Linked DNA regions of Arabidopsis thaliana. The protein of the gene in region 2 interacts with the protein of the main gene of each other region in a pairwise test. Each region holds a gene or a part of one and is shown on either strand. Other genes may lie near its edges. The genes, in order: AT3G17410 and GSTU22.

Evidence for each region.
Region 1: the proteins of GSTU22 (region 2) and AT3G17410 interact in a two-hybrid assay, tested with the Arabidopsis thaliana proteins (one large-scale study listed by BioGRID).

Annotation. Positions count from the first base shown.
Region 1 is NC_003074.8:5,953,854-5,959,824, reverse strand, and holds AT3G17410 (Protein kinase superfamily protein), read right to left. Parts: upstream 3,964-5,971; 5' UTR 3,778-3,963; intron 3,682-3,777; exon of another isoform or gene 3,247-3,681; 5' UTR 3,225-3,246; coding exon 3,140-3,224; intron 3,066-3,139; coding exon 2,815-3,065; intron 2,672-2,814; coding exon 2,545-2,671; intron 2,447-2,544; coding exon 2,173-2,446; intron 1,941-2,172; coding exon 1,808-1,940; intron 1,422-1,807; coding exon 1,335-1,421; intron 1,081-1,334; coding exon 943-1,080; 3' UTR 611-942; downstream 1-610. Other genes in the region: GPK1 (glyoxysomal protein kinase 1), read left to right, coding at 1-175, 268-363; AT3G17400 (F-box family protein), read right to left, coding at 4,381-4,938.
Region 2 is NC_003070.9:29,472,256-29,475,931, forward strand, and holds GSTU22 (glutathione S-transferase TAU 22), read right to left. Parts: upstream 1,749-3,676; 5' UTR 1,543-1,748; coding exon 1,228-1,542; intron 1,133-1,227; coding exon 791-1,132; 3' UTR 590-790; downstream 1-589. UniProt on the Arabidopsis thaliana protein: May be involved in the conjugation of reduced glutathione to a wide number of exogenous and endogenous hydrophobic electrophiles and have a detoxification role against certain herbicides.

The DNA.
Region 1 (5,971 bases), on a different chromosome or scaffold from region 2:
ACAGTTTGAGGAAGTGGTGGATAAAGAGCTTGAGATCAAACCAACAACAAGCGAACTTAAACGAGCACTTTTGACAGCTTTAAGATGCGTTGATCCTGATGCAGACAAGAGGCCAAAGATGAGTCAAGTGGCTCGAATGCTTGAATCTGATGAATACCCTGTGATGCCTAGAGAGGTAGTCATAATGACAAACAATGCAGAAATAAACTGATTTTCTTCTGTGGAAACTAGAATGTTCATAATTGGTTTGATGAATGTTTTGATCAGGAACGAAGAAGAAGGAGAAATCAGAACGCAGAGACGCATAGAGAAAGCACAGACACGAATAAAGATAATGATATAACAACAGATGCAAAGATTTGAGCAAGAAACAGAAACATGGACCCTCCTTTATGACTTAAGGGTTAAAAACAAGGAAAACTTTTAGATTCTTTGGAGATTGTTTAGATTCTTTACTGTGTCTATAAGTTAATTATGTGATATATATAGATACAGAGAAGAACAAGACTTGTTTCTTTTGTCTGGAGAAGGAGAGATTTGTTGCACATTTTATTACCTTCATACAGAGTCAGTTACAGACATATTTTACAAGATAAATTTTATTTGGATCCTTAAAGATTTTTTCCCAATAATTCCTTTAGTGATTAAGATGCATTCAAGATCGAAAAGAGTTGAGCTTGTACAGACAGACGCACAAACAGAGTATTGGTATATCTTTACCTCGCATATCGTAGCATTAGTAGAGACTTGCATCACATTCACATGCATGAAATAATATAGAAATACAGTAACATTCAGGTCTTTCCAAGTAAGATTTTCAGTGAAGTGGCAGGGGGTTTATGAGAGAATAAACGCCTATTTCACAAATTTACACAAATCGGATTCAAACAAAAACAAATGAAATAGTGATGATCATAAAGGGTGATATCAGACTAGAGCATATCAATACGGGTTCCTGTGTGGAGTCTGGGGAGCAGAACGAGGAGGATTGAGCAACGGCTGAAGAGCCTTCACCACTATGCTCATGTTAGGCCTGAAGTCTGCCTCATATTGCACACACAGTGCAGCTACCGCAGCCAGCTGATCACAATGAGTCATAAGAGAAAACCAAAATCAGACTCGAGGTTTTGGGTTGCAAATCTAGGCATATCATAGGGAACAACACATCAAGAGGGAATCAAATCAAATTCATTTTTGTTTTTTCAACCAGGCAGACAAGTTTTAGCTGTTGTAGTTGATTGCGGGGTGCAACGGATGGAGAAGTAGTCAAATCCTAAGGTAAACCTTTTCTACTGCAACAGTGAGAAGTATGACAAAGTTTTGGGGGAAATTACCTTAGCAACAGCTTTGGGAGGATATTCTCCGTTTAGTCTTGCGTCAACACACTGCTTCACCTTGTCTTCACTCAATTTAGGGGTTGCCTGAGACAAACAAAAGCGTTATCATTGACTACTGGTTTTTGTCTATAGGGAAAGTTCAGAGTCTCTAATATCTCACAAGTAAGCAGAGTTTGCTTCAGAAAGGCTTCACGTACAGAAACCCACCTTTATCCAGGAAAATTTCTTTCTTAAAAAAACAATTGGCACTTGGTTTTTCTTATTTAATAAATTCTAGTTTAAGAAATTTCTTTCTAGAAAAGAATTGACTACACCAAATCAATGATTTCTATAGATGCAAAGAGGTGTTGCGAAGTTGCTAGAGGATTTTTTTGGTCATTCTCCTAATTGACTGAATAAATCATGTATTTTCTAAGATTTTCTTATAAATATGAGTCAACCAGAAGAAGAAGCAGAGACCGATGTATTACCCATGTCACGACACTCTGCTGTCCACGTGGTAAGGTATGATCAACTGGTTTACGACCTGTGAGGAGCTCCAGCAGAACAACGCCAAAACTATAGACATCACTCTTTGTGCTCAACGTCCCCGTCATTGCATACCTAAATTGCAGAACCAAATATGTTTAAGAATCTAGTTTGGTCAATGGGAAGAAATGCAAGACATACAGAAGTGTAAATGTATGAAAATATGATTATCAAAGCTTAGTCCAAGTGAAGGACTTAGTGCATCAGAACATTAGATAATGATAACAAAAGATTCTCAGCACGACTTGAGTGTAAACAAATCAAAATATCACTGTTCCAGATAAATGATATCTCTAAAGGAGCTTACTCTGGAGCGTGATAGCCAAAGGTTCCGAGCACACGGGTTGAGTGAAGGCGAGCAGCCATGTCAGGGGCTTGGTTGGACAAATCAAAATCAGCAATCTTGGCAACATCATCATCGAACAGAAGTACATTGCTGGATTTGATGTCTCTGTGGATAACATGAGGGTTTGCCTTCTCATGCAAGTACTCGAGTCCTCTAGCCGCACCAACAGCAATTTTGACTCTCTGGTGCCACGACAGAACAGGACCTGGCTGTGCCCCTTTAACACCTTTTCGACCTGCACCAGTGAATTCACCACAGTTCATTAGTTTCTCCTCTGAAGATCTTGGAAAAATGGTATTGATCTTCCTTCGATGTTTTACATTAGTAACTTACCATGAAGAATATCATGAAGAGATCCATTAGGAGCATATTCATAAGCAAGAACACGGAGTGGGCCATCAACACAATAGCCCAGAAGCGCAACAACATTTTCTTGTCGCAATCTCGAAACCATTGATACCTGTTAAAGTTGGTCATGTCAGTAACAAAGCCAAATACGACAAAACAACCACAACAGAGTGACTTCGTGCAGAACTATCAGAGCATAGGAAGTATAAGGTCTAGGCCCAACAAGACTGCAATAATATACTCTATAGCATCTACCTGGGCGAGAAATTCTTGATCTGGTTGCTTACTAGAATCCAGTTTCTTAATGGCAGCTGCTTTACCACTTTTAAGAATACCATAAAAGACTCTTCCATATGAACCCTCACCAATCAAGGACTTTGAACCATAGTTATCCGTTATATCCCTCAATTCATCAGCTGGAATGGCCGCAACAGAGATAGGCTGCATCTGAATGACTGGAAGGTTTTTGGGTGGATCTGCCCTTTGATGGTGACCTCCATTGTAACCTTAAGAACAATTAATAAAGTTCATTAACTTAGCCACCAAAAGAGAAATACTGATATGGGGTAAACTAAGCTACCTCCAGTGTTATGCACTGGCTTTGGTCCAGTTTCAGAAACTCTACGGAAATCCTCACCACCACCACAACAACCAAAGCAGCCCATTACGCTTCTCTCTCACACGAAACTGTATCAGTATATTCATAACGCAAAAACGTCAGTAATGGTGTTGCAGAACAAGACTTTATAACATACGAAAATTTAGAAGTAACTAATTTCTTCCCCAAATGAAATAGAGCAAACTGTACAAACTTATAGAGAAATGCTCGACGAAAGTTTCTAATTATAGGGTTTAAGCAGAACAAAAAAGGAAACAGATTTTTTTTCACAAAAAACAAATTTTTGTATCAGAAGAGTAAAATCCTTCATCTACATGATGATGAAGTTTCATTACGAGAGCATAATTCGATAAAAATCGAGACACTAAGAAATGATACATTTGGTGACCTAGACTTATCACAAGTCAACGATCGTAACCCCTAAAATGGATTTCAAACTGAAATAACTATCAATAAACTCCGAAAAATCCGTTAACACAATCTAATCGGCATGAAATCGAACCCTAGAAACAAATTTTACAGATAAATACGGGGAAAGACCCAAAAAAGAGAAATTTAAGCGAGTTGGTAAGAAGAAGAAGAAGAAGATAGCGAATTACCTCTTCCAAAAGGATAATTAGAGAATCTCAAAAAGAGGAAAAGAAGATTCGAATTCTCCGATGATAAAAGAAGCAGAAGAAGGAGAAGGTTTCTATCTATCTTGGTTCGTGTAGGGTTGGTGAAGAAACGCAGACTTTTCTTCCCGGCGGAAATTTACAGTAAATGATATATAGGGTGCGCTTAGGCGCATGTTAGCAATTTGTCTACTCTTTATAGTACGCCTTTATCAATCAACTTGAAGTTATTTTACTTGGTCGTGTTTTGAGGTCAAAGGTCTTAATCCACTTATTAATTAGCCATTTGATTGGTTGTATATAAAATTTTTTGAATTTCCCGTAACAAAATATATGTACTAATACATAGGTAACTATTTCAATAAGAAAAATGTGTTCGATAAAAATTTTCAGATAAGTCCATATTTTGTAGTGGGTAAAAGTATCCTTCTTTGTGCATTTGGTATTTTTAAGCATGTAATAAGAAAAACCAAAATAGACGGCTGGTATTTAATAAAAGGAGACTAATGTATGTATAGTATATGATTTGTGTGGAATATAATAAAGTTGTAAAATATAGATGTGAAGCGAGTATCTATCTTTTGACTTTCAAAGGTGATCGATCGTGTTCTTTGTGATAGTTTTGGTCGTCGGTCTACAAGTCAACAACCACCTTGAAGTTTTCGCGTCTCGGTTTCCTCTTCGCATCTGGTATCCAATAGCATACATATACCAGTGCGGAAAATGGCGAAGACTAGTGGGCTTGAACCATAAGGTTTGGCCCCAATACGGATTCCAAACAACAAGCCTAGCGCAGTCTTTTGGGATGCATAAGACTAAACTGTCGCAGTGATAGACGTAAGATATATCGACTTGATTGGAATCGTCTAAGCTAATAAGTTTACCTTGACCGTTTATAGTTGCGTCAACGTCCTTATGGAGATTGATGCCCATCAAATAAACCTGAAAATCCATCACCATGACCACCATAAACTCCCTTGCTGCCGCTGCTTTGGCTTGAGCAAGGTGTTTCCTTGTAAAGCTCCGATCTTTGGATAAAGTGTTCCACTTTTTGCAAGTAGCTCTGACCCCTCTCAGAGATGTCACCGGAATCTTAGACAGAACCTCCTCTGCCAAATCACTTGGAAGATCGGACAATGTCATCATTTTTGCAGGTAATTTCTCCTTCGTTGCTGCTTTGGCTTGAGCACGGTGCTTCTTTGTAAAGCTCCGATCTTTGGATAAGAGCGGATCGGAATCCTCTAGGAGGTGCCAGTCCCTTGACCTATTAATTTATAGAAGGTTTTAGTGTATTTTGTTCCAATTTCTTCTCTAACTTAACAAATAACAACTGCCTCATAGTCATGGGCTTCAAATTTTATCGCTTGGTGTATTTCGTTATTTGCAAGGCCTTGGCCCATTTTGAGCCCAATAACTAAATCTAGCCTTTTCAGACCGGACATGAACTTCGCATATTGGCGTAACTGTGCAGTTTTACCTTTTTCGGATCAGACAAGATCAGATTTAGACCACCCAACAATAGTCAGTCATATTTGACAACCTAAGCTAGCCGACACTACTAAAAAGCAAACAAAAGAAGAATTCTATGTTGTCATTTTACCGGTGGCAAGTGGACCCTTCTATAAAAGAGTAAAGAGACAGCCTGTGTGTGTATAATCTCTAATTATGTTCACCGACACAATCACACAAACCCTTCTCTAATCACACAACTTCTTCATGATTTACGACATTAATTATCATTAACTCTTTAAATTCACTTTACATGCTCAAAAATATCTAATTTGCAGCATTAATTTGAGTACCGATAACTATTATTATAATCGTCGTGATTCGCAATCTTCTTCATTAGATGCTGTCAAGTTGTACTCGCACGCGGTGGTCCAGTGAAGCAAATCCAACGGTTTAAAACCTTCTTACATTTCTAGATCTAATCTGAACCGTCAGATATCTAGATCTCATTGTCTGAACACAGTTAGATGAAACTGGGAATGAATCTGGACGAAATTACGATCTTACACCAACCCCCTCGACGAGCTCGTATATATAAAGCTTATACGCTCCTCCTTCACCTTCGTACTACTACTACCACCACATTTCTTTAGCTCAACCTTCATTACTAATCTCCTTTTAAGGTATGTTCACTTTTCTTCGATTCATACTTTCTCAAGATTCCTGCATT
Region 2 (3,676 bases):
AAGAAACAGGTCAATTTCTATCCCTTCTTAAATTTTTAATAGCTTTTAAAATATATATTTTTGATTTTTATTTTTATTTTTTTGGTTACTAAATTTACATAATGGTATGAAATCTAACCGGATTTTGGATCCAGCATTAGTCGTTAGCGATTCCAAATATTCAACTTGTTTTTTCTACTATTATGTAGATTTAGCATTCAAGTTTTTAATTAGGATTTTCAAAAATAGTTTTTAAAACTTTGATTATTTTCCTTTTCGGATTTTTAAAAGCTTTTTCTTATGTTTTTTTTTTGAATACTAAATTTACATAATGGTATGAAATCTAACCGGATTTTGGATCCAGCATTAGTCGTTAGCGATTCCAAACATTCAACTTGTTTTTCCTATTATTATGTAGGTACCATCCATTCCACTGTAGTTGAATTCAGTTCAAGAGCCCAAGGACTCGGATTCAAGTTTTTTATTCCGATTTTTAAAAATAGTTTTTAAAATTTTGATTTTGTTTCTTTTTTGGATTTCTTTAAAAAATTTCTTTTTCTTATGTTTGTTTTTTAAATTTTTTAATTGATTGGATATGAAATTAACTAAATTTTGGATCTAGCATTAGTCGTTAGCGATTAAAAACATTTAGCTTGTGAACAAATATTCTTGAGTGACAAGAAACAAATATTATTTGGTGAAAATAGAAAGAAAGGTACAACAAAATCATATAGAAATCAGTGAACATAGAAACGTAACGTGAGATGAAATTCTAAGACTTTTTTTTTCGTTCAAAGAATCAATAAGACTTTTAGACACAGTATATCTTCCTAATCTTATAGGCAAACGCAAGGATTTTCTCAGAATCATGAAGGGACTGAACCACGCTTTCTCTCTGCAAACACCTCTTAGCCGAAGCCATCAGTGTGGGACACTCTGGTTCGATGCTGAAGTTAGCTAGTTTCTCTGATGCTTCGAACCAGCTGTAATATCCAGTCATGGCAATGTCTACGAACCCGAAGGTATCTCCACCAAAGTAAGGTTTGTCTCCAAGCTCAGTTTCAAGAATCTTGAGTGCTTCTATATACTCTTTCTTGGCTGTCTCTTGTTCCTCTCCTTTCGTTTGCCAAATCTTATCCGCTGGCTCAAACAGCTGCACCATTTCACAGATCAAGCCCAAAAATATTTTCAATTATCAGTCTACAAAAAAAAAAAAAAAAACCTAAACAGAGATTTTGGATTGGGTACCTTGGTGTCCACGAAATCAACCCAAAATCTGGCTTGAGCTCTCTGGTAAGGATCAGAAGGAAGGATTGGGTTTTTGTCGGACCAAACCTCGTCGATGTACTGAACAACGTTCATGGATTCACAAACCGGTTTACCATTGTGGATGAGAACCGGAATCTTCTTGTGAACCGGATTCATCTGGAGAAGCAAAGGGCTCTTGTCTCTCAGATTCTCTTCTCTGTACTCAAACTCAACTCCTTTCTCTCTCAGCGCGATTCTCGCTCTTACTCCGAATGGACTCGGCCAAAAATCCAAAAGTATCACTTCATCCGCCATTATTGTGAAAAGGAACTCTTCTTTGATGGATTTTGCTTAAACCTTTTCTATACTCCAATCGCTGATTCTTTATAGAGTAAACTAGTCGAGTTATATAAGAAATTTGTATGCGATGCTGATGTCTTATTACTATTGACTGTGAACATAAAAAATGAAAAATTAATTGAATCTTGGAAGCTAAGATACCGTAGCAAGCAAGGTGTGAATGTTAAACAAGTCAACTCAATGTTATTCAATTCGATATGTTTTTTTAAATGGAGTTTTAAGAGATGCTTAGGCCACTGCTTACGTCATTATGCTTATCTGTTCTTGTTTTTATGTTAAAAGAAAATACATGAAACCCAAAACATAAAATTTTCTATATATTCTTTTGTTTCCACATCACACACACACATACTATGGTACTATTTTACTAGTACACTACAAACTTGATCACCAACAAAACTTTTTTTTGTTTCTCTTCACATGAAAAAGTAAAAGCAAAGTAAATGGATTACTTTTAAATCTATGAATCGTATTCTTTAGTGACAAGAAACAACATCCGTTACTGAGCCCAGTCTAACATTTGTCATTAAAACAGCCCGTTGGCGTAGTTAAACAGTTCTCCATTTTCCAAGTTTGCGTTTTTAAATGGGTGGAAGAGAGAAGGAGAAACAATGTCGTCAACGATGGAAGGGCAAAAGAGTCATTGTGAAATTAAAGTCGGTTCCAATTATTATTTTCCCATTTTTCTTAAGTAGTTTATTAAGTTTAATTAGAAAAAATGTTATTTAATACTTCAATTTACAAAAAATGGCCAAAGTAACCGTGAACTCGAGAAATGGCCGTTTTAACTCTCAACAAAAAGTTGACTTCTGTTTTAAACTTTCAAGTTTGCGTTGACTCGGTCTAATTAACCACCGTTAAAACTCCTTCTAACAGCGTAATTGACAGCCGTTTTAATCCGTTAAGCATCTGTTATTATAGTCTTACGACCTCGTTTTCGTGCTAAAGAGAAATCAAAATCGAGAATAGAAATTCTCAAAACAAAATCAATTACCCTAAACCCAAATCGAAACCTAATCCTGCCCCCAAAATCAAAATCGAAACCCTAATTGCTTCAATTCGTTTTCTGAAATGCCATTAGTTAGAAAGAATGGCGTCGTTATGAGGATTGGATCTCCAATGCTTCACGAATCAGAGAATTTGGTGGGAGATGGAGTTGAAGCACCACCGCGAGGAGAAAGAGATGAAATTGGAGAAGAAGTTGGGGGTGAAACGAATGTGGTATCTGAGTCTTGTGGCGGAGAAGACGGAGCACAAGATGCAGCTAAACCAACGCCGGAAAGAGAAGCAGATCGAATTGGAGAAAAAGCTCGAGGTCAAGCGAATGTAGTATCAAATGTTGATGTGGCAAATGTGGCCGAAGTTCGTTCTCCACTTAGGCGAAGTAAACGAAGGCAAATCAGATTGGAAGAAGAAGCTCACGATGCAGTTGAACCAATGCCGGAAGGAGAAGCAAATCAAATTGGAGAAGAAGCTCGAGGTCAGTCCGTTGATGTGGCAGATGCAACCGCAGTTTGTTCTCCACTTAGGCGAAGTAAACGAAGGCAAAATAGATTGGAAGAGGAAGCTGATGTTGCAGTTGAAGAATCAACTCGTCGTGAAATTGGACAAGAGGAAGAGGAAGCTTTAGGTGAAACGTCTTGTGGCGGAGAAGAGGAAGCTCACGATGAAGCTCAAGAATCAGGCGTTGATGTGACAGATGCAGTCGAAGTTCGTGCTCCACTTAGACGAAGTAAACGAAGGAGAATCAGAGATGAAGAAGAGGAGGATTTAGAGGCTGAAGTTCCTGCTCTTGATGAAGACGATGACTGTGCAGTCCAAGGAGATGAAGACTGCGATGAGGTTGATGATGCAGTAGATACTAATAGAGAAGAAGATGATACTGCTGGATTAGGTGTCGAAGAAGATGGTAACTTAGACATGGAAAGAGATTTTCCAGAGGCTAATGGAGAAGAAGAAGCTAGTGACAATGACAGGGTAGATGATATATGGGATGAAGACAAGATTCCAGATCCTTTGTCCTCTGATGATGAAGATGATGATAGAGTAGAGGCAGCTCGAAATGATCTTGGTGATCCTGAGATTTTAC